3 linked regions of the Diceros bicornis minor genome follow. The protein of the gene in region 1 purifies or fractionates together with the protein of each later gene. This does not show direct contact. Links are inferred from orthologs where the notes say so. Each region holds a gene or a part of one and is shown on either strand. Other genes may lie near its edges.

Region 1 (7,799 bases):
GTCAAGAATTTCAATCTAACCCGATCATTCATTCGGTGCTTGAGCCTGAGTGTTGATACAATCATCTGGGCTGCCTCTCCCCAGGCCTGATGGCCCAGGAGCAGGGAAGGTGAGTAGGACAGGAAGGAGAGAGGAGGCATGAGGCTGGGCGTGGACTGGAGCGGTCCTCACCTCTAGATGACCACTATGCACTGCGTGGTGCAGGGCGCTGCGCCCACTCCTGTCAGCCACATTGAGGCTGCTCAGCAGGGGTGCCAGAGCCTCAGCACACTTGGTGGCCCGGTTGGCGGCAGCCACATGCAACGGTGTCTGCCACAGCTTGTCCCGGGCATTCACATCTGCTGAATGTGCCAGCAGCAATCCCAGCACCTTCTGTGAAGAGACAGAAGATAAGAGAGAGGATGGGGGGGGGCAGGCAGGAGGTGAGGCAACAGGAAACGGTGGGAAGAGTAGGCCAGCATGGCACATGTGGCCCCATCTCCCCACCCCCCCACCACAGAGTCTCCTCTCATTTTTCCAACATGCCTAGCCTCTCAATACCTACTCCCCATCTTCTGGATCTAAGATCTGGATCTTCTTAAAATTGTCCCTTCCTTGCTAGGAAAACATGGATCCCTCCTCTTCCTCAAGCCACCTGATATCACTCCCCAACCCAGACCCTGAAAATCTTCACCCACACATACAGCCACTACCCAGCAAATCCACATGTAGAGGATCCCAATCCCTCACTACTAGGAAAAACAAACACTCCTGCTACATTAATGCCTCAAATCCCCTCTTTCAGCCCTTCCATAGGCACCGAAATCATTTCCATTACCTCGGTAGGCAAACAGATACCGGTTCTTCTCCAAAACCCAGGCTAAAATGCTCCTCCTGGTCACCACCCTCCCCAGTCCCACTGGCCTCAGTCCCTCCCCCTGGTGGCTGGAGCCACAGAAGTGACTGTGGAACCAAGAGGAAGGTCTCCTTTCCCCGCTCTTCAGAGTTGATAGACCCAACTGATGAGGCATGCTTGATTCCCGTGCTGTCAACTGTCACACTGCTTGAGGGCCAGGGATGCAACAGATCACTACTCCATCCCTCCATCACCCCATCATAAGGAAAGGAATCTCAGTGCCCAGAGGGGGATCAGACTCCAAGGTAGCCCCCCAGGGAGGGATGAGTCACTCAGGCCAGGCAGCAGGGCCCCCTGCAGTCTGCCAGCCCAGTGTTAAGCTCTCCCCTGACGTCACATCAGCTGGCAACCCTCAGCCCCCCTTACTAGCCAGTTCTAGGGGTAGGAGGGAGGGGACAAGGTCTGGTCTCCTACCGACCTGGGGGTAGACCAGCTTGTAGGGCAGAGGACTGAGGCTCTCCAACCCTTAAATCTCCACCTTTAACCAACTCATCCTCTTTAGAAGGCTGAAAGGATGTAGGAGGCCAGTACCTCATTTCGGGAGGCAGCAGCACGATGAAGAGGGGTCAGCCACAGTGTGTCCTTAGCATTGACATTAGCACCTGTGGGGATATAATTTCCTCTTTTGGTGGGAGGTGGAAAGCAGGTGGGGAAGGAAGCCAGTAATCAGGCCAGGGAATCTGGGTGGAGATGGAGGCTCACCTGGACCAAGCACCAGAGAACAATCCTGGGGTATGAAAAAAAAAAAAGGCTCCTCCCTCAGGTCCCCTCCCTAGGTGCCACACCTTTCAGCTCCCCACTTTCACCTGACATCAGTAGCAACTGGAGGATGGGGACATCGCCTACGTAGGCAGCAGCATGCAGTGGGGTTCGCCTCTCTTGGTCCTGGGAAGGCAGAAAGGAGGAGCGGCTGTGGGGGTGAAGTATCAAGAACCCCAGCCCAAGCCTTAGAGCTCCAGGCCTTTCCCCACGACCTCTTCCCACAGGTTCTGCAGCCTCCTAAATCCCAATCCTAGGTCAAAGCAAGCACCTAAGGAGGGTGGAGTCAGGGAGTCAGGCCCCTGGGCCCGCGAACCAGTCTCCTTCTTCCAGGAGCGGTGGGGGCGCTGCAGACACTGATGGTTCAGAAGACAACACCGTTTCTGGGCATCCTCAGCCTTACTGGTCTGTGCTCCAAGCCTCCATCCCCAAATGCAGAGCAGGCGCCCATCCCAGGGTGGAAAGAGCTGCGGCCTCATCCGAGCCGAGGAGACACGGAGCCGCCCCACTGGTGGGGAGGGGTCCAGAACACCAGGGCCCAGATTACCGGCTCGTCATCCTCCCTGATCCTAACTCACCAGCACATTGATGTTCTCCTTCTGCGAGAGGAGGGAGCGCACTTCCTCCACATCTCGGCTAAAGATGGCCTGGACCAGGGGCGGCTGCAGGGAGAACCGGCGTTCAGGGAGCGGGCCGGAGCGGAACCGGGGGGTTGGCGGGGACACCAGGTTTGAGGGGGGCGTCGCTGGAGAGGCTCTGCTCTGGGGTCCTGGCTGCAGGGGGCTCCTGCGGTGTCTCCGCCGGTCGCCAGGCCCCCAAGGACGCCGGCTCGGTTGAGGGGAGCACGGCGTGGGGCGGGGCGGGAGCCGCGGGAGCCCCGGGCTCGGGCCCAGCCTAGGCCGCACATCCCCGGGCTCGCGTGGCGGCGGCGCCGGGCCTTGGAAGGAGGAAGCGGGCGGGGGCAAGAGGGCTGACCTGGTCCGTGATGCTGAGGATCCCCATGGCCCGGCCCGGGCTCTGTCCGCATCGAGCTCCCGGCGGCGGCGGCGGTGGCTCCACCGGGGACACGGGGCGGCCCAGGCGGCGGCTGCGGCGGCGGCTGCGGGGAGAGCGCGGCCCCGCCTACCGGGGGGCGGGCGAGCGGGAGCCCGCAGCGCTCCCTGGCGGCCGTCCTGGGCCCGGCCGCAGGGCGCTCGCCGCGCAGATGGCCCGGGGCTGCAGCGCCCTCCGCCCCGCCCTGGCGGCCCGAGCCGCCCCGGTGCCCGCACCGCGCGCGCTGGTTCCCTGGTGCCCAGGCTGGCCGCACTGGGCTCTCCGCTCCAGTCTGGCGGCCCGGGGGCTCCCCACAAGACCCTAGCGGCAACTCGGGCCTTGACCCTACGGTGCCTCCCAACCTGCGGACCAAACGGCTGGCCAGATGGCACCCAGCCCACAGTGCCTCGGCCGGAGCTGACTCCTCCCGTCAGCGATTACACACCCCAAATCCCTCCCAGACCGGGGGAAGCAGGGGCGTGGAGATCCGCGGAGTATATATGGCAAAGCCCCAGAGGGAGGGAAGGCGCGTATCTCTACTGGCGGTGACATGAGTTGGGTAAAAAGGAAATAGCAAAAGTGCTCAAACTGCAGAGAGAAATCCCAAGAAAGATTCTCCAGCAGCAGAAAACCCCCACAAAGAGGCTAGGACAGCTGGCAGCTTGGAGAAGGTCTCCAAGGTCAACAGAAGAGGCGCTTTTCGACTCTCTACTCCATTGCCAGGTTAAGGTGGTAAGGTGGCTACATTTTAAAAGGCTCAATGCCTTCGTCTCAGAAAAGGGTGAGGGTGCTTCCCCTCCTCCATTGAAGAGGCCAGAGAGCAGCCAATCAGGCAAGATCCGGATGGAGGCCATCCCAGGCCAGAAAGGCAAAAAGAAGGAGGAAGAAAAGAGGATATTGACAAATTGGTACAATTTATAGAAGGTGATTCAGGGTCCTGTTCAGAGCTCAGTAACTCAATATATGTGTTCTAAGAAAGGAACACATTTAGGAAGAAGTGTAGCATGTCGGCCCCCTGTCAAGGCATAGGTATAAAAGCCCTTCCTTGTTCTCCAACAATCTATGCCTCTCATTGCCTTCAATATCTTTATTCCCACTGGAAAGATACACAAGACACTGGTACCAGTGCTTTTTCCTGGAGAGAGAAACTAGGGGACAGGGAATGAGGAGTGAGAGGGAAATTTACCTGTCACTATATACCTTTAATAACTTTTTGAATTTTTATCACATTGAAAATAAAATTTACAATATTACTTAAAACTTACCTCTTCTAGGAAGTCTTCCCTGGTTAACAGGTTCTTTCCCTTTTGTTAGGTCTCCTTAACACTGTAAGTGTTAATGTAATAGTGTATGTAATACTCAGTTTACACTGTCGGACACAGTCAGGTTTAAACTGCACACCTTTGTTGCTCATTCCACCTTACATCTTTGACATTCCCTTGTCCAACATTTCAGAATGGATTTGTGTGTGTGTGTGTGTAAGGAAGATTAGCCCTGAGCTGACATCTGTTGCCAATCCTCCCCTTTTTGCTGAGGAAGATTGGCCCTGAGCTAACATCCGTGCCCATCTTCCTCTACTTTATATGGAATGCTGCCACAGCATGGCTTGATATGCGGTGCATCCGGTCCGTGCCTGGGATCTGAACCTGCAAACCCCGGGCCTCCGAAGTGGAAGGCGTGCACTTAACCGCTTCACCACCAGGCCAGCCCTCAGAATGGATTTTAAACTCCTTGTTAGCCAGAGTCTTCCAGCACAGGATTGTACATTGTTTTGGGGTTCTTTTCTATGTAAAAATGATTTTGAGCTCTTTGAAGGCAAGAGTATATATTAAATTATTCTTTGTAGCTCTAAGAACAGGAACTTAATATTTGATGATGATGACGAAGATGAGGTTGAAGAAGTAGAAACTAAAGGTAGCTGGGGATCAGATGGCTATGGGTGTTGGGACATGTTGATTTGGCTATTGGATATGATGGATCTTTCAGGAAGGGCTAAGCTAGGATATGACCCAGAGGATGGGGAGGAGGGGACTACGTGGCTTCCATTGCCTGAAATAGCTCTTGGTAACCTGAGGAATTGGAGTCAGAGGTTGAGCTGGGGTCACGTGCCTGGTTCTGGTGTGGGAGTGGAGGTGAACAAGGGAGGTTGCCAGCTGGGTTCTCTGGACAGCTGGACGAAGAAGGAAGGGCTAGATGAGTTATTTTTAATATTACTCAGAGCACAGAAAGAGGATTTCCCAGTTGGAAAAAAAGGGATATGATATACATAACACAGATACTTCCAGGGCTCAGGGAGATGCACAGGGTGGGGGAGGAGGAGGCCTGAAGTGGTGGCAAAGCCCTCTTATGCAGACAGTCCTTCTGGATTTGACTACTGACTTCATATCCGGGTAACTCTAGGCAGATGCCTGCCTGTCTTTAAGCCTCAGTTTTCATTCTTCTAAGAAATGTTGATTGAAGACTCACCATTGTGTACAGCCATATACTAACTGGTTTGGAGGTAGAAACTTAGGAGTAATGGTGTCTATTTTTGTGGCGCTTATAACTTAATAGAAGAACATATGTATACTTATGAAACAACTAGAGAATATAGGATACATGCTACTTTACCTGGCATTATGTGTTCAGAGTAATGTTGAGGGATGGGTTCAGTCAAGAGGGTCTTCCTGGAGGAGGTGCGTTTTGAGTCACTACTTAAAGGAAGTTATTGATGTAGAATGACAGGGAAATGGCAGGAAATTGGTTGTTTCAAGTACAGGGAATGCACTAGGAAAAGTTTAAATGGCAGTAATTAGCTAATCTAATTAGTAGGGGGACAACAAGCAAATTGGCTTGGCAGGCCTATTGTACCTTGGGGATTCTGCAGCAGTTAACTCGGTTAAGGAATAGCGTTAATGAGGTCACGGTACAGTCATGCATCCCAGTTAATTTCTGTCTTTTATCCAGCAAGATCCTTACTCCTCACTCTAAATGGCTGTCTCCCATGTGTGAGCCCTTAGTCAGAGAGAGTGGGGCCAGACAGGAGAGTAGGGCTGGGAAGAGTGAATCTGTCCCTCAAGGTCACATGCCCATCTGAGAGTGGCTCCAGATTATCATCTTTGAACTGGAAGGAGATACTGTATCCTGGGGGTGGGGGTGAGGGTGCTGAGGGAAAAAGAAATGTTAGGAGAAAAAAAGAAGTGAGATCATTCCCCAATTTGGGGCTTCTTGTATATACATTATGAATATAAATAAGGATAGGGCTGGCCCAGTGGCACAGTGGTTAAGTTCGCATGCTCTGCTTTGGCAGCTCGGGGTTCATGGGTTCGGATCCAAGGGTGCAGACCTATGCACCGCACATCAAGCCATGCTGTGGTGGCATCCCACATATAAAATAGAGGAAGATGGGCACAGATGGTAGCACAGGGCGAATCTTCCTCACCAAAAAATAAATAACGATAAAAATGCCTTCCTTACAAAATGTTAAATGTAAACCAGAGTTCAAGGGAAGGCTCCCGCTCCTTGAAATCCAGATAAAATGGGCTCGAACTTTAAATCAATCCATATCCAGTGGAAGTCTCAAAATTAATGGCAATCTTAAGGAGCAATGGGAGTTAGAGGATTTATATCTGTTTCCAGGCCCCTGTTTCTGGGCAAGATGTCTCTCTTCCACACCTATTAAAAGGCAACACAGTCTTTAATTATTTTATCCCACCCACCAGTCACCCACACAACACTACACAGACAAAGCTTTCCTGCATGTGGAGAGCTTGACTAAAGACTTAGAAAGAAAGTAGAGGAGGGGCTTGCACTGCAATAGCATAAACATCTTTAAATGCAACAGCAGGCACCACCATTCTTCAAATGTCCTTCCTCTACTCCACCGTCGGAGAATTTCAATGGCTCTTGTACCCACCTAGATCCAGTCTCTCTCTAATTGCTGATTTCTCTCTCCTCTCTTTTTTTCTTTTGTTCTCTCTGCTTTTATCAGGAGCGATTTTTTTCTCCTTTTATCATGATGCAAAGCAGTATATCGACATTTCTTTTTTTATATATAATTTTATTTATTTATTTTTCCCCCAAAGCCCCAGTAGATAATTGTATGTCATAGCTGCACATCCTTCTAGTTGCTGTATGTGGGATGCGGCCTCAGCATGGCGGGAGAAGCGGCCCTATATCGACATTTCGTTGCCCCGGTTCCTGCCCTTGAGGTCTCAATCTTCATCAAGTCCACACTATTCCAGACAAAGATGGTTCTCCCCTAAAAGTAAGTCTGGTTCTTCCCACCCTGACTTCTTTCTACAAGTATTAAAAGAGAAAATTGTGCGAAGTCTTAGTCCAGAACTTGGAAAGTTAATTTCCTTTTGCAAAGATGTAAATAAAGCACAGCAGTAGGCACTATGGAGGCTACAAAGATGAATAGAACTTCTAACTGCTATAAACAAGGGACAATATAATAAAGGCTGTGAGAGAGACGTTCAGGAGATCAGCAGAGGGGCCAGCCCTGGAAGCCTAGTGGTTAACTTCTGTGTGCTCTGCTTTGGCGCCTGGGCCCGGTTTCCGGGCGGGAACCTACACCACCCGTCTGTCAGTGGCCATGCTGTGGTGGCGGCTCACACAAAAAGAGGAAAATTGGCAGCAGATGGTAGTTCAGGGAGAATCTTCCTCAGCAAAAAAAAAAAAGGGGGGGGGAGGTTGTGATTTTGAATAAAAACTCATGGAAAACTTAGAAAAAAAAAGATCAGATATCTGCTGTTGACATGCCCGCGAAGTCGCCTCTGTGCTTATGCATCAGGTCCGTGACCACAGACTCGCCAAGTACAGTAGTTTGCCTGGCGACCTCGCTCCACCGGGCCATCTCTGCAGCTTCTGAGACACACTCTAGCGCCCTTTCTCGCCAGAGGTGTGAAACTACATCTCCCGACAGGCCGCGTGGTCCCCTTCCTTCTCCCTCTCCCCGTCCCGAGCCATGGCAACGGCGTGACGTGCGGGTACTTGGAGCTCCAGGAGCAGCGGTCGCGGCTTCAGTCTAGCCTACCCGGCCGCCGGGCGGGAGCAGGGCGAGAGGAGCCGCAGCTCCGCGCCGCCGCTGCGCTCGGGGGCCCTGAACCCGCCCGGCTGCCGCTTCCTGCCG
Region 2 (7,046 bases), on another chromosome or scaffold:
ATGCCAGACTAATTCCTCTCGTGTGGAATTTACTTGTACTCTTCGGATTTTGGAGGGACAAATTATTTTCACCCCTCTTCCCAAATTCAGAATAAATCGAAAGGTAGCTACAGGATCCGAGAATTGGAGATCAAATATTACCTTTATTACTATTAGAGCCAATCACAGAAAGTGGCTTTAGTCTTGCTGCTACTTCACCCTGGCGTTAGACGTGCTTGCTCGCCTGGTGGCAGGCAGCAGTGGGCAAGCAAAGGTGTCCCCTTGGGTGCAGGGAGCAGGCCAGACACTGGGCAGGCTGGCTCCAAGAGGAGGGAGAGCTGGAAGGCTGAGCCATGATGCCCATCCAATCCGGTGAATCATTCCTCTGCCCCTGGAAGGGTTGGAGAGGCCAGGAGAGAGACAGTACGCAATAGATATTCCTCCATATGGAAATGTGAACAGTGGGGGAATGAGCGTTCCCACTATACACTTGAAGAGGCCCCTTCAATTCTAAGACAAACAACAGCATTGTCTACCTGTGAGTTCTGACAGGCTGGAGACCCAGCCTTCAGCCCTTAAAACCCCTGCCGCTTCCCAGGTTCTTGCAGACTGACTTCATCAGCTACTCAGGTTCCATTTGGTGGTTGAATATGGCCACACACACAGCCCCTGCCCCCCGCCCCCCAGTTCCTGAGGATACGTGTTAAAACAGTGTGGCAACAATCAGACTGGAAAAACAGCAAGCCAAATGCTGGGTAAAAGACAAAAGATGTAGGAGAAAAGATGACTCAAGGAACAGAAGGAAATGCCTCACAATTGCTTCAAGCTGTACAACAACAGGAACCGAGGTCCATTTTAAAACAAGACCTCAAAGAGGAAAAGGTAAGATTGGCAAATCTAAGGAAACAAATTGAGGACTGTGCCAAATTAGATGGTTCAGCAAATATTCATTCTCTTCCATTCCAGCTTCATGAGAAAAGTACACTTTCCCACCCCATGGCGGGTGGAGTGCAGGTGCCTGCCCCATGACTTGGGGCTTGACCATGTGACTTGCTTCTACCAATGATGGTGGCAGATGAGAGGTGACCTGTGACTTGAAATGTGCTAACAGTTGGGCTTGATCTCTTGTGCTTCTGCCTTCCCTTATGAGATGGTGCCCTCGGGAGCCCACTGGTTCCAGATTATGAGAGACGTGAGGAGTGGGAACAGCCTTGCTGACCTTCACACCTGCAATTCCAAACCATGAACATGATACATGCCACCGAGGCTGTGGTTGTTTGTCACAAAGCAGTAGCTAACGGACACAAGGACCAAAAACCATCATATGTAACAAATACACTGGAAATAGCAAGGACCAGGAGAGACACGGCTGAAAAATGAAATTATTGACGTGGTAACCAGTGAATGCAGGTGGAAATGACAAAGATGAGAGCAATTAGAAGCTAACAGATGTGAAGGACAAATGCATAATTGGCTTCCTTGAAACAGAGGACAACCAACCAGAACCTGAAAATGTACTCAAACACATGATTCAATAAAATGTCCCTGAAATGAAAAAGGTAAATCTGCAGGTTAAAAAAAAAGTAAAAGTTGAGTCCTTACACACATTTACTCAACTTATCCTTACAGTGGGCCTGTAACCTGGTGCAAGTTGGGGAAAGTGAGGCTCAGAAAAAGATGAGACCTTAATGCATAGTGATACAAGGTCTAGGAGGATCCTTCCAGTCGATGTTGTTAGAGGATGCTTTGTTAGAGGACACTGGCAACAGTAAAGACACGGCCTGGGCAACCTAGAGGTGGGACTGAAGTCCCCTTGAAGCACAGAGAAGGCGTCGAGAGAAAACCGGGCGAGACAGAAGCGCTTAGCCTTGGCTGGAGAGAAAACCCGGGATGGATTCCCCAGGAGCTCGACCCTGGAGCCACAGCAGGAATATGATTGGAGGAGACAGAAGAGCGCATGGATTTCTAAAAGGAGCGAGTGGGAAGAGAAATCCTGGAGCAGGATTTTCTCTGGACTTTGGAACGGAGTCGCAAGAGAAATGCCACCGGGTGTGCAGCAGCGCCTGCGCATTGAGCTGTCTGGGTTTATTCGGGGAGAAATGGTTGGAGCAAACTGGCGCAAGCGCATCTGCAACGGAGATGTTCTGGCTGGGCGGCGTCTAGAGCGGCTGTGCCCAGCGCGCACGCGCACTGCAGGATCCGGGCGCGCGGCCTCCGGGCGCTTGCACACCGAGACGGCGGCGAGAGGGCGGGGCCTCCTGCGTGCCCCTGCGCTAGGGGGATTGTGGGATAGTGGCGGACGGAGACGGGCGTCGGAGGCCCTGAAGAGGACTGGAAAGCCCGGAGACCTCGCCGGTTTGGGGAAGGGGAGGTGGAGGAAGTGCGCCTCGACTTCCGTCGGCCGCTGCTCAGCATTGCGGCCTGTTCGGACTGCGGAGGACGACGTCTTCCCCGACCGGCGTTTGCTTTCCTGCGGGCGCTGGGCCGGGCCGGGAAAACCGCGGCGACTTCCCCGCTGAGGGCCTGCGCGGGCCTCGCGACCCTGCTAGCCTCCTCCGGCCCCCAGTCGCGGCTCGCGCCCACCTCGCCGGCGGCCCCGGACCCACCCCCGTCCCAGCCGGCGCCGACCCCCGACACCTGGAACTCGGCTTGCGAGGGCCCCCCTAGCCCCGAGGGCGCGTGCGCGAGCCCCGGCCCGGCCGCCTGCGCGAGTCTCCGCCGCGGCCCCCCGCCCCCACATACCGGGCCTCGGAGCAGGGGCCGGAGCCGCCGGCGGCGGGGCGGGGGGGGCGCCCCGATGAGCCCCGAGTGCGAGGAGCCGCCGCCCCCCCGCGCAGGTGAGCCGGCCGCCCGGGACCCTCCGCCCGTCCAGGCATCCTCAGTCCCCGCTCCGCCCGCCCTCCTGCGCCCCGCTTAGGTACCCCCGAATCTGCTCAGCCCTTTCTCCTTTGGGCCCTTCATTACTTCTTGGGCATTTCCCTCCTCCAGTCTCTTCCTCCTCCGCCCCTAAGTCTTCTAGTCTCTCCCCTCAGCCCCCCAAGTCTCTCAGTCTCTGCCCCTCGGCCCCCCAGGTCTCTTAGTCTCTGCCCCTCGGCCCCCCAAGTCTTCTAGTCTCTGCCCTTCGGCCCGTCACGTTTCTTAGTTTCTGCTCCTCGAGCCCCCAGGTCTCTTAGTCTCTGCCCCTCGGCCCCCCAGGTCTCTTAGTCTCTGCTCCTCGGCCCCCCAAATCTCCTAGCCTCTGCCCCTAGGCCTCCACCCACCCAGCCAACGTTCCCCAGTCTTCTCCCTTTGACCCCCGCACCTCCATTTTCCCCACCTTGGGACTCAACCCCACTCTTTTCTCCCCTGGCCACTCCCTCTCAGACAGCCTCCTCTTTTTCTCCTCAGCCCCTTCCCCTTGGACACCCCCTTGCCCCTCTTTCTCTGTCGCCGGCTGTCTAGACCCCAGCTTCTTGGGGACTCGCACTCTTGGTCAGGACGACTGGATAGTGGGCCTTCCCCTTCCCTTGACCGTGGCTCCCCCACCCTGTGTTTCTGGCCTCTTGTGAGGGGGACCTTGAGAGCCAGCCCTCTGGAACAGCCGCCATTCGATCCCACTTCTGTGAGATGAGCCTGCTGAGGGCAGGGCAGGGAGCCTGCTGCTGGGTGTGAGGGAGGGGGACCTGCCTCTGCCGTGTCCTGGGGAGACAGAGGCAGAGGGACAGTCACAATTACTGGTGTTGTGATAGAGGTAACTCAGGGCGCCACAGGAGGCCACAGCCGAGGGACTGGTGAGACTGGCTCAGCGGGTGGCTTTTTCTGTCTAGGAAGGATGAGTAGGAGTTGACAGATGGAGAGTGGGAAGAAGGGCCTTCCGGGTGGAAGGAACAGCACGTGCAAATACGTGAAGGTCTGTGCGCTGGGGTGCAGATGTGTCGCGAGGGAGTGGGGCATGACACCTGCCGGGGCTGCCTGTCCGGGCCCTTGAATGTGACCTTCTGGTGAGGGTCTTCCTTGCTTGCTCTTTTGCACACCTGTACGTCTGTGCTGAGGATGCAGATGTTACCGTTAACCAGAAAGGCAGGATGTTTCTGGAAAGGAAGATGTGTTGTCAGGTGTGGTACGGGGTTCAGAGTTGTCAGGAAACTTCAGTGGGGTGTAAAGTGGCACCGACATCGCTGCTCTCTGCACAGGGTGGCTCTGGGGACCCATGCGCTGTTGGCAGAAGTCTGTAGCAGAATGCAAGGCACAGGACGTGCTCCAGGATCAGTAGCTTCTAGGATTGTTATTTGGTTTGGGGTGGTCTCTTGCAGTGCGTTTTCAGCTGGGGGTGCATGTGTCCCCCAGGGTTCCTTTGGCAATGGCGGGAGACAGTTTCAGTTGTCACAGCTGGGAGGTGCTACTGGCATCTGGTGGGTGGAGGCCAGGGATGCTGCTCCACATCCTGCAGTGCACAGGACGGCCCCTACCGCAGAGGGTGACCCGGCCCCAAATGTCACTAGTGCCGCCTGGAGAAGCCTTGCTCTCTCGCTTGGGTATTATCTGTACTTTTGGATTATCTGCTCTGTTGTCATCCGTGGGGAGCTGTGTATTCTGAGTTGTGTGTTTTGATTTACTCTTGTGTTTTTGTTGGGTCATCTTGTGTGTTTCTGTTAGAGGAGAACCTGCTCATCCCCCCAAAAAACTTTTTTTCACGATCTCTGGCCAAGTGACCTTAGCAGGTCACCTTCTCTCTCTGGACTTCAGTTTTCATTAATTCAACAAGTACCTCTAGCTGTGGGCCTGGCCTGGTGCTGAGTCCTGGGAAATTGGCATCTTCTGGGGGAGACAGGTGATTGAACAGGCAGAGCCTGTCACACAGCCGTCAGGTGCTGTCGTAGGGTGACCACGGAAGCCAGGGAAGCGTGGAGCAGGCCCTGAACACAGTCAGGGGAGGCTTCCTGGAGGAAGTGGTGTCTGCGCTGAAGCCTGAAGGACCCACGAGGAGCTAGTGAGGCTCAGAGAGCTGGAGGGAAGGCAGAGGGAGCAGCTGAGCCAGGGCAGAGGCGAGGGCGCGTCCAGCAGTCAGGTGTGGCGGGAGTGTTGGGCGCCATGCGGGTTGCAGCAGGAGAAGAGGTGAGAGGCCGGGGAGCCTTGGAGAGAATGAGAAGCCTTCCTGTTGCACCCGGCTCTCAGGCAGGCTCGGCCCTGGGGGTGGGGACGTGCCCTCCTTTCCGGGCCAAGCATGGTTTTCCCTTTGAACCCCGGTTTACAGTAGCTGTGAGGTGTCTCAGGTGAGGAGACTGAGGCTGTGTGGGTTAGGTCCCTGCTCGAAGGCCACGGAGATTGACGTTTGGAGAGACGAGGTTGGCCCCCAGCCTTTCTGACTCTGGATCACTCTGTAACACTTGCTCTGCTCCTCTCTGTTTTCCAAGGGCTGTTTCAAAATCTATGCCTTGTTCTTTTCCTTTTTTTCCTTTGAACCAGTGACCGATCCAGAAGAGGGTCCTGATGTGAGCTCTCGGCCCCTCCTCAGTCCTTGGCCAGCTGTCCCCAGTCTCTCCTATTTCCTAATTACTCCATCCCCTGGGGTTGGACCAGACTGCCACCTCCCCTGGGAGGTGTGCTCTGGGGTCAGAGGGGGTGGCGCCTAGGGTATCCCCTCACTGGGGACCCCCTCAGGCTTTCCCGAGCCATGGGAAAGTCCCAGCTCATGGTCCTGTGTGGCCTTGGCTGGGTCTCTCTCCCTCTTTGGCCTCAGTGGCCCCTTCTCCCAAGTGAGCGTCCCGCTGCCTCCCTTGCTGGGTTCCGCATCTGGCACATACACCAGGTCCTGCTCGGAGGTTATGGGGTCGCCATTACCGTCATCCCATTCTTGGAATCGGGAGTCCCCCACCCCCTTTCCAGATTTGGCCGAGAACTGACAGTGGATTGGGGGAAGTTAGAGGAGGGTGGTCTCGCTGTCCTCTGACCCACCCTGCCCTGCAAGGGCCTGAGGGCTGGCCTGCGGGTAGTGGGTTCCCTCCCCTCCTAGGGCTCGCCTAGTCCATGTCTCATTAGAGCTGTTGTGGGCCAGTGATGGCTGAGGGTGGCAGCAGTCAGCAGGCCTGAGATGGCCTCTCCCAATGCTGGCGCGTCTACCGAGCCTCAGGGCAGCTCAGGTGGCCGCCTCGGAGGCCCTCCCAGAGGCCTCTGCGCCCTTGACCTTCACTTCCGGGTGCTTTAGGGACAGGGCAGGCTAGGAAGGGGTGGCAGATAAAGGATCAGCCCACAGGCCCCCTGGCAGGCGGAGCTGTGTTTGGACAGATGGTGGCAGCAGCAGTAGCAGCAGTGACAGTGGTGGTGGCCTGCGGGAGCCTCAGTCGGACCCTGTCTGAGCCCAGGCAGGGGCAGGGGCTGGCAGGATCCTGAGAGGGGCAGCTGGTATCGGAGGCCTGAGCACAACACAGCAAAGCAAGAAACCCGAGGCGATGGTGCAGAGCTGGCGCAGGGAGAGGTAGTTTTCTTTTTAATGGCTTCCTTTCTCATTTACAGTTTCCCCTTCTTCCGTTTGCAGCCGGAGTCATGGTTTTCAAACGGTCGCTAAAAACCAGTGGTAGTCACTTCCGTTTTCTTGAAGTTTGCTAAAAGTTGCAAAGGGTGGGGGCAGCGGGGTGCGTGGCGCCCGCCAGAGTATTTGAATGACCTGACTCACTCCGGCAAATGGGGAGTCTTCTGTTTTCAGTGCCGTCACCCCTGGGGTAGAGGCTGTTTCCGTCCCTCCTGCTGCAAGTGTCCAGGCTTCTGCGTGGCCGCGGGGACAGACAGGAAGGGGCCAGCACTTGCCAAGCCCCTGATGTGTCAGGACCGCCTGCCTCAACCCGGCTTCTTCTCACAGCACGGCCTTGCCCGGTGGGCTGTGCCCCCGTTTCACAGATGAGGACACGAGGCTCCCGGATGCCAAGTGCCAGACCCAGGTTATGCTGTTAGAGAGTGAAAACGAAAGCCGCCTCTCCTGTCCAGTCCCAGGGCTTCCAGCAAGTTCCGTTAAGTGGGAAGGTGGGGTTGATCATCAGGACGTGAGGCTGGAGTGAACTGAGAGTTTGTAGCCGGGGAAAGTTTATTTCTCT
Region 3 (7,572 bases), on another chromosome or scaffold:
ACTATGCTGAACCAGACAGACATGGCCCCTGGCCTCCTGGAGTTTACCATCTAACTCGAGAGAGAGATTAAACAGAAAAAGCAATAACCAGATACATTTGTAAAAAGTGCAAGGAATAAAAAGTTCATCCATGAGTATCTACTCTTGAGGAAGTTACTTTTCTCTGGGCGTCTGTCTGTAAAATGGAGCTAATAAGATTGTTGTCACAAGGTGATGAGGAATACATGAGCTAATTCATGTATATAAGGTGTTCGGTGCGCAGCGCAGAGCTGGTCCTCTGTAAAGTGTGGTGCTATTCCTAGCTATAAATGAACTCTAGACACCAGCCCTGAGTTAGACGTGTTCATATGCATTATCTCTGGTCTCCATCATAACCATGGCCCTGTGGCTTCCTGAAAATGGAGAGGTGGCTCACCTATGTCTATGTTTCAGAGACCCTGGTGATCACTTAGGAGGACTGGGACAGTCGTGTCCTAGGAAACAGAAGAAATCGCTAAGGAAGGAAACCGCAGGAGCTCCTGGAGTCCAGAGCTGTGGTAGCAGAGTGGGAAGCAGTCAGACACACTCCTGTTCAAACCCAGGCTCCAGCACTAACCCTGACATTTGGCAAGTTCATTACCCTCTCTGAGCCCTAGTTTCCTCATCTCTAGAATGGGAATAGTAATACCCACCTCAGGGAGCCGTAGAGAGGATCTGATAGTACAAGTGAAAGGCCAATTTGGTGAAATCTTTTAGCTACTTTCTGAAACTATAGCAAAAATTTATTGACATAATGGAATTCGAGGTCTGCAGCTCTTCTCACTGCTCAAATATCCTATTTCAAACACCTCAAGTCTTTGCGAGTTCCCATATTAATGGAAAAAAATCCCCATTGACTGCCAAAGGGGAGTTTAGGGAATATTCAGTCATTCTGCTCTCCTTCAGGAAAGAACACCAAGGCCAGGTGGGCTCTGCCATACATCCATGTGCATCTAGATGGAGATTTCTACCCAGAGCTGCAGAATGCTCTGACAGCCCCCGTGTCTCTCGGCTCCATCCATTTCACAGTGCCATGCTGGAGTTGCACAGAAACAAGAAACATTGGAAGAGGTTTGTGGGCAAAATGGCAACCAGTTTTCATCGTGGGACCTATGCTTTTGGACTACAAATCGTATTTCAGAAAGTGCTGGAAGGAAATTTTGAGATCTATTTTTAAAATGGAAATGGAGGCTCAGGGAAGTTAAAGTGACTAACCCACATAATGGCAGAACCAGGAGCCCAGATCTCCTGCTTTGTGCAAGGAAGACTTAGAACATGTTCCAGTCAGCAAGCTCTGTACACTCTCTCGTCTCCTTGCCAAACTACCCAGTGTGTCTATCACCTCTCCCAAGAACTCACCCAGCACTCTGAGGGACGCGTCCCTCCTTTCTCTCTGCTGTGGATGTCAAGAGTCAGGTATACTGAATGAGGTGAGTCTGCAGGAGGGAGCTTCTTACTGCCATACAGTTTGGTAATGTGAGGACTGCCACCTTTCACTGGAAGGGGACACCACCTGCTTTCATTGCCTACCTGACTTATCAGCAAGGGAAGCAATGATACTGGGCCGGCCCTGTGGCTTAGCAGTTAAGTGCGCGCGCTCTGCTACTGGTGGCCGGGGTTCGGATCCCGGGTGCGCACTGACGCACCACTTCTCTGGCCATGCTGAGGCCGCATCCCACATACAGCAACTAGAAGCATGTGCAACTATGACATACAACTATCTACTGGGGCTTTGGGGGAAAAAAAAAAGGAGGAAGATTGGCAATAGATGTTAGCTCAGAGCTGGTCTTCCTCAGCAAAAAGAGGAGGATTAGCACGGATGTTAGCTCAGGGCTGATCTTCCTCACACACACACAAAAATAATAAATAAATAAATAAGCAACGATGCTGGTGACACCTTCCTTTTAAGCACTTTACAGTTTATAAAGAATATTCATATCCATCTTCCTATTTGTCTTTCCTCCCAGTTCTTTTTCTTTTTTTTTTTTTTGTGAGGAAGATCAGCCCTGTGCTAACATCTGCCAATCCTCCTCTTTTTTTTTTGCTGAGGAAGGGCCCTGGGCTAACATCCGTGCCCATCTTCCTCCACTTTATATGGGATGCCGCCACAGCATGGCTTATCAAGCAGTGCGTCAGTGCGCACCCAGGATCCAAACTGGTGAACCCCGGGCAGCCGCAGCGGAGCGTATGCACTTAACTGCTTGCGCCACTGGCCAGCCCCCCTCCCAATTCTGAGAAGGCATCTTGAGTAGGATTCATTTCCAGTTACTGAGGTTCAGAGATGAAAAGTGAATTGCCAACTTTCCAAAGAGGACTATTAAAAAAAAGTCAAACAACAATAGCATCTTTTCCTCATTTGGATATTTTTCTCCAAGAAACTCTGAGCATATTATCCCTTGACTTTTTTTTTCTCTAATGTCTGAAATGTTACCTCTTCAGGAAGGCCTTTCCTGCCCACCCAATACTCAGAGCAAACACATTGCACGCACTCTTACGTGATATTGTTTTAAGCCCTTTCCAAATATTAACTCCATTAGATCTCAGTACAAGCCTATAAGGTAAATATTATTATCTCCATATGAGGTAGGCACTATTATTATCTCCATATTGGAGCTGAGAAACTGGAGCACAGAGAGGATAAATAACTGCCAAAGTCACACAGTGAGTAACAGAGCCTGGACTTGAACTCTGGCCATCTGGTGCTCGAGTCTGCACACTTTTCCTCCACTATATTGCCAACCTAAAGTAGGCCTCTTCTACTCCATTTTTCTTGCACTACCCCTTCTTTCCCTTTTTAGCACTAACCACACTTTGAAATTAATGATTTGCTCATTTATATGTTTATTGTTTGTCTCCTCTATTAGACTGTAAGCCCCATGAAGGCAGGGATCATATCTGTCTCATTCACGTCATAGGTACGATATAACTATTTGTTGACTAAATAAAGAAATGTATGCTTGTGGGCATCATTCATTCTGCAACAAACTTTGAAAAATTAATTTTACTTTGAAACAATTTCATACTTACAAGACAGTTGCAAGAATAATACAAAGAACTTCACCCAGAGACCTCATTAAAGTTTAGCCAAATGTCCCCAAAATACACTTCAGAGCAAGAGGATCCAGTCCAGGGTCACTTGCACAAAAAATATTTATTGACCTCCTGCTCCTATTGGATTATATAACAGTCTCCTAACTGGTCTTTCAGATGCAACCATTGCTTCCTACAGTCTCATACAGCAGCCACAATGATCCTTTTAAAATGAGTTAGATCATGTTACTCCTCAGCTCAAACCCCTGCAATAACTCCCCATTGCATTAAAAGTAAAAATCAACGTTTTTTTCATCTCTCCTATTCCTCTCACCTTGCTCAACTACACTAATCTTCTTGCCATTTCCCGAAGATTCTAGACATGCTTCTATCTTAGGGCCTCTGCATCAGCTCTTCACTATAATTTCCCTGAAGTATCTGCATGGCTAACTCCCCCACCTCTTTGTTGGTTCCTAAAAATGCATCACCCCATCTCCCCTACCCTGATGGTTTTTTTTTCCCTTGCACTTATCACTAATATGCTATACAGTTATTTATTATATTTATTGTTTATGTTCTGTCTCCTCTACTAAAATGTAGCTACGAGTTGAGGATAGGGATCTTTGTCTGTTTTGTTTACTGAATATCCCAAGCGCCTACAACTGTACTTGGCACATAGTCGGTGTTCAATAAACAGCTGTTGAATGAATGAACGTAAAGGTATACTAAGTGCCAGGTCCTGTTCTAAGCGCTAGAGGTACAACAAAATCTCCTCGTCCTCCTGGGACTCACACTGAAGTATATTTAAACCAGACAGACCTATGTTCCAATCTCGGCTCCCTGCCTGTTCCCTGTGAGATTTAGGGAATGTTACTTAACCTCTCTGAGCCTTGCTTTCCTATCAATCGTTATGAGGATTAAACGGAAAGCCAGCATTTGTATAGCATTTAGCATAAGAAATGCTTTAATATTTGTTTCCCTTCCTTCCAGGCTGGAAGACTGGTAGCCTGACATCTCTGCCACAGGTTTATGCAAGGTTTTCACAAAACCTTGAAAAGGTGCAAACAGGTTATAATGGCCAGGCTTACACAACTTTTAACTGAAGATGTTCTGGTGAGAGAATGCTTAATAGGGTCAGAGTGAGAAACCAGGGAATGGCTAGGGTCACCTACTTCGCCGTTTTGCGTTGGAAAAGCCTCGCTGGGTGCCCAGAGGTGAAAGTCTGCAAGAAAGAAAGGGGAGGAAAAGAGGAGTAGCTGGCCACTACTGAAAACTACAAATCCCAGCACTCCCCACGGCAGACAACTACGGGTCCCAGCAGGTTTCACTGTCTGGAACGAGGCGGCCTCTAGGGGCGTGCAGCCTGGGTTCAGCGGGAGAAGGTGTGGGGCGGACCGAGGCAGCGGGGAGAATCCGGTCAAGCTTTACGCCGTTGCGCAGACGCCTCTCACGGGCCGGACGTGACGTAGGGAGAGTTCCGGCTTCGGCCTCCGCCGCTGCCGCCGCTACTACAGCAGCCGACGCTGCTTCCGTCGGGGCTTGTTATTTCTAAAATGGCGCCCCTAGACTTGGACAAGTATGTGGAGATCGCGCGGCTGTGCAAGTACCTGCCGGAGAACGACCTGAAGGTGAGCCTGGCCGGGGCAGGAGCGCTGCTTGCGGTGCTCGCCCCTTCCGGCAGCGGGGCACCCGCCGGCCCGCCCTTCCTCCCTCCGCGGGACCCCCGCCGGCATCCCGTCCCGTCCGGTCCCGGTGGAGGGCCTGTCGCGGGGCGAGGCCGCCCGGTGCGACTCGGCGTCGCGCGGAGAGCGGGGGAGCCCGAGTCCCCCGAGTGCTGTCCCCGTTCCCTCAGCGGGGATCCCGCGGGATGCAGCGGTCTGTGCCCCAGCCTTGCCCCTCTTGGTCTCCGGGCAGCCCCTGGGCTCCGAGCCCTAACAGCTTTGCTTAGAAGGCTCCTCTCCCCTAACCCCTTACCCGGGCTCCGGGAGTCTGAGCCGAGCCCCAGCGGGCAATGCCTTCGGGATGGGGTCATCCCCCAGAGGTGGTGACAGGAGCCCGGGTGGCCGGCGTCTGACAGGAGATGCCGCCGGCTCCCGGAACGCGGCCCCCGTGTGTGTAGGTTTTTGGGGAGTGGGACGAGGGTGGGCCAGAGCTGTTGGGTAGAGATGTGAGAACGTCCAGTCGTTCCTCTTTCCGTCCGTCTTCTCCCAGTTGCTCTTTAGGAGTGTTGGTTTGCGTCTGCTAATGCAGATGGGAATCCCGTTTTGGAGTCCCTTGTTGAGCTAACTTAAGTGGATAAAGTAGTAGGCCCTCAATAAATACAAATACTTTTCTGTTCCCCCGTAAATTTCTGAGTGTAATTTAGTAAAGGAATGTCAGTCTTTGGTTTACTGCTCTTTTGACAAGTGTTTTTCTGCGTTTGTTAAAACCAGTGCTTAGGTGTCGAGCAGTGTTGAGCCAAGTGCTAGTGTCTGTTTTATTCGTTCAGTTAACTTTGATTTGCTGTGTGGTGAGTGGCTAAACTGTTGATAGTTTTGCGTTCTTTTTATTGTTTAGGCTGTGGGTTTAAAGTAATTTGTCTTTGTGAATTCTTCCTCTTAACGAAGATGTTACTGTTTTTTTTTTTTTTTTTTTGCTGTCTTTTTTGGTACAGGAAGTTGATATTTAACATCAGTCAACAAGTATGCAAAATGTTTAAGGCCACAGGAGCTGTTGTGAATGTAACTTACTTGTACTCACTTGTTAATTATACGTGCTGTATGATAGGGGAGTCATTCTTGTGCATTTTCCCCTTTTTGGTAGGATAATTTAGTTAAAATGAAGACAGAGCCAATATTAGTAGAAATGTAGCTTTCGTGCTCATCTGAATCCTTCAAACGTTAGTTTTGTGGCTTCTTTCTGCTATACGTTTTTTTAGGAAATGAGGGTACCACCACCATTGGCACCCAGTTCATGGAAAACTAACCAGACATTTTTTGGTAGCACTGTTAATCGCGTAGGTGAAGTTGGTTTTTGCATGTCAGTGAATTGATGTTGAATTTTCTGTTCTTTCATGTATGTAAAGCTGTTTAAGCTTTGTGTTTATAATGAGTAAAATGTTGCTTATTGCTTTAGGCTTCTTAGTTTGATAAACATTAGATTTCCTTCCCACCTTAAGGAAATATAGTTATTAAACCATTTCATTTCCCTTTGCAACACAGTTGGACTGTACTTAGCATGTATCTGTTTCTTTTTTTTTTTTAAAGATTTTATTTATTTATTTTTCCCCCAAAGCCCCAGTAGATAGTTGTATGTCATAGTTGCACATCCTTCTAGTTGCTGTATGTGGGACACGGCCTCAGCATGGCCGGAGGAGCGGTGCGTTGGTGCGCACCCGGGATCCGAACCCGGACCACCGGCAGCGGAGCGCGCGCACCTAACCACTAAGCCACGGGGCCGGCCCAGCATGTATCTGTTTCTTAATAAATTTTTTTTTGTTAATTTTCTGGACAAATGGGAAAAAAAAGAATTCTGACTTTTTCTCTATAAGTAGAGGCTTTTCTTCTTTGTCTTGGAAATGTTTTTATCAGATTAATTTGCTTGCACTGCTCATTTCTGGTATATTTAAAGAAATTTAATTTTGTTGCTACTTCTTGGCATAAAGTACAGACTAAATTTAGGCAGACCAAGAAAGTATTCCAGGAGCACCTTTCTGGAGGTTTTAAAGCCAAAATAAAAGATTCTATCAGAGGAGGAAAAGAAGTCATTGGGGCTACTTAATGGTCATTATGGAAAAGATTTGTTCTGGTAGAAGAAAGAAATTCACCTGTGTTTTAAATTGACTAGAAGAAGTTGCGAGTACTAAATAAAATAATAAATGTGTAGGATGTTCTAGGTCTAATCAGGATTTCTCTATATTTAAGTTGGAATTGGTCAGATCACTAGTACTGGATCGAATCTACATAACTGGAAGGAATAAGGGTGAAATTTGTGAGAGTAGACCAAAGCGTAACCTTCTTTTCTTAAAAAAGAGCTCATGTGATTCTCATCCACAATAAAGATTTCAGAGCAGATCATGGAAGATACAGATTCCATATCTGGCCAAGTGGAAGAATGAATGATAGAAAACAGGTTTACAGAATACTTAAACTTCAGTATGTTGGCAGGAGAGGGCTTCTGTAATTTGGCGATTGTCTGATCTCTTGGGCAGTTCTTAAAGGTTGAATGTAAGTAAAGTTGCGCACTGAGTTGGTGTTCAGTTTTTTTACTGAAGAACTGAAGACAGTTGTGGTATGGGTTGGGAGAATACTAGTGTCTGTCTCAGAGATGCAACACAAGGAATTATGTAATTCCATAGTAACCACTTATGGATTAATAGTTAATGTCGTCTTTTTGGAACTCACTTTTATGTTTAGTCTGAGCCACCTCTGAGTTTTTCATATAAGGCTACCTGCTCTGCAAAGTTATACCTGTCTGAAATGCCTCCCTAAAGCTTCAAAGAATTCTCCCTTGCTTTTTTTTGAGATTTGGTGAACAGCTTTTCAC

Evidence for each region.
Region 2: the proteins of ANKRD52 (region 1) and PPP6R1 purify together in Homo sapiens (co-immunoprecipitation; 3 studies listed by BioGRID and IntAct, with this or other methods). This does not show direct contact. The link is inferred for Diceros bicornis minor from reciprocal best matches to the Homo sapiens genes ANKRD52 and PPP6R1.
Region 3: the proteins of ANKRD52 (region 1) and PPP6C purify together in Homo sapiens (affinity purification with mass spectrometry; 6 studies listed by BioGRID and IntAct, with this or other methods). This does not show direct contact. The link is inferred for Diceros bicornis minor from reciprocal best matches to the Homo sapiens genes ANKRD52 and PPP6C.

What each region holds. Positions count from the first base shown.
Region 1 is NC_080756.1:12,520,936-12,528,734, reverse strand, and holds the start of ANKRD52 (serine/threonine-protein phosphatase 6 regulatory ankyrin repeat subunit C), read right to left. Parts: upstream 3,097-7,799; 5' UTR 2,657-3,096; coding exon 2,630-2,656; intron 2,317-2,629; coding exon 2,233-2,316; intron 1,781-2,232; coding exon 1,702-1,780; intron 1,498-1,701; coding exon 1,427-1,497; intron 373-1,426; coding exon 172-372; intron 1-171. UniProt on the Homo sapiens protein: Putative regulatory subunit of protein phosphatase 6 (PP6) that may be involved in the recognition of phosphoprotein substrates.
Region 2 is NC_080773.1:33,275,705-33,282,750, reverse strand, and holds the start of PPP6R1 (serine/threonine-protein phosphatase 6 regulatory subunit 1), read left to right. Parts: upstream 1-3,957; 5' UTR 3,958-5,049; coding exon 5,050-5,073; intron 5,074-5,648; exon of another isoform or gene 5,649-6,433; intron 6,434-7,046. UniProt on the Homo sapiens protein: Regulatory subunit of protein phosphatase 6 (PP6). May function as a scaffolding PP6 subunit. Involved in the PP6-mediated dephosphorylation of NFKBIE opposing its degradation in response to TNF-alpha.
Region 3 is NC_080767.1:33,595,862-33,603,433, reverse strand, and holds the start of PPP6C (serine/threonine-protein phosphatase 6 catalytic subunit), read left to right. Parts: upstream 1-4,483; 5' UTR 4,484-4,601; coding exon 4,602-4,676; intron 4,677-7,572.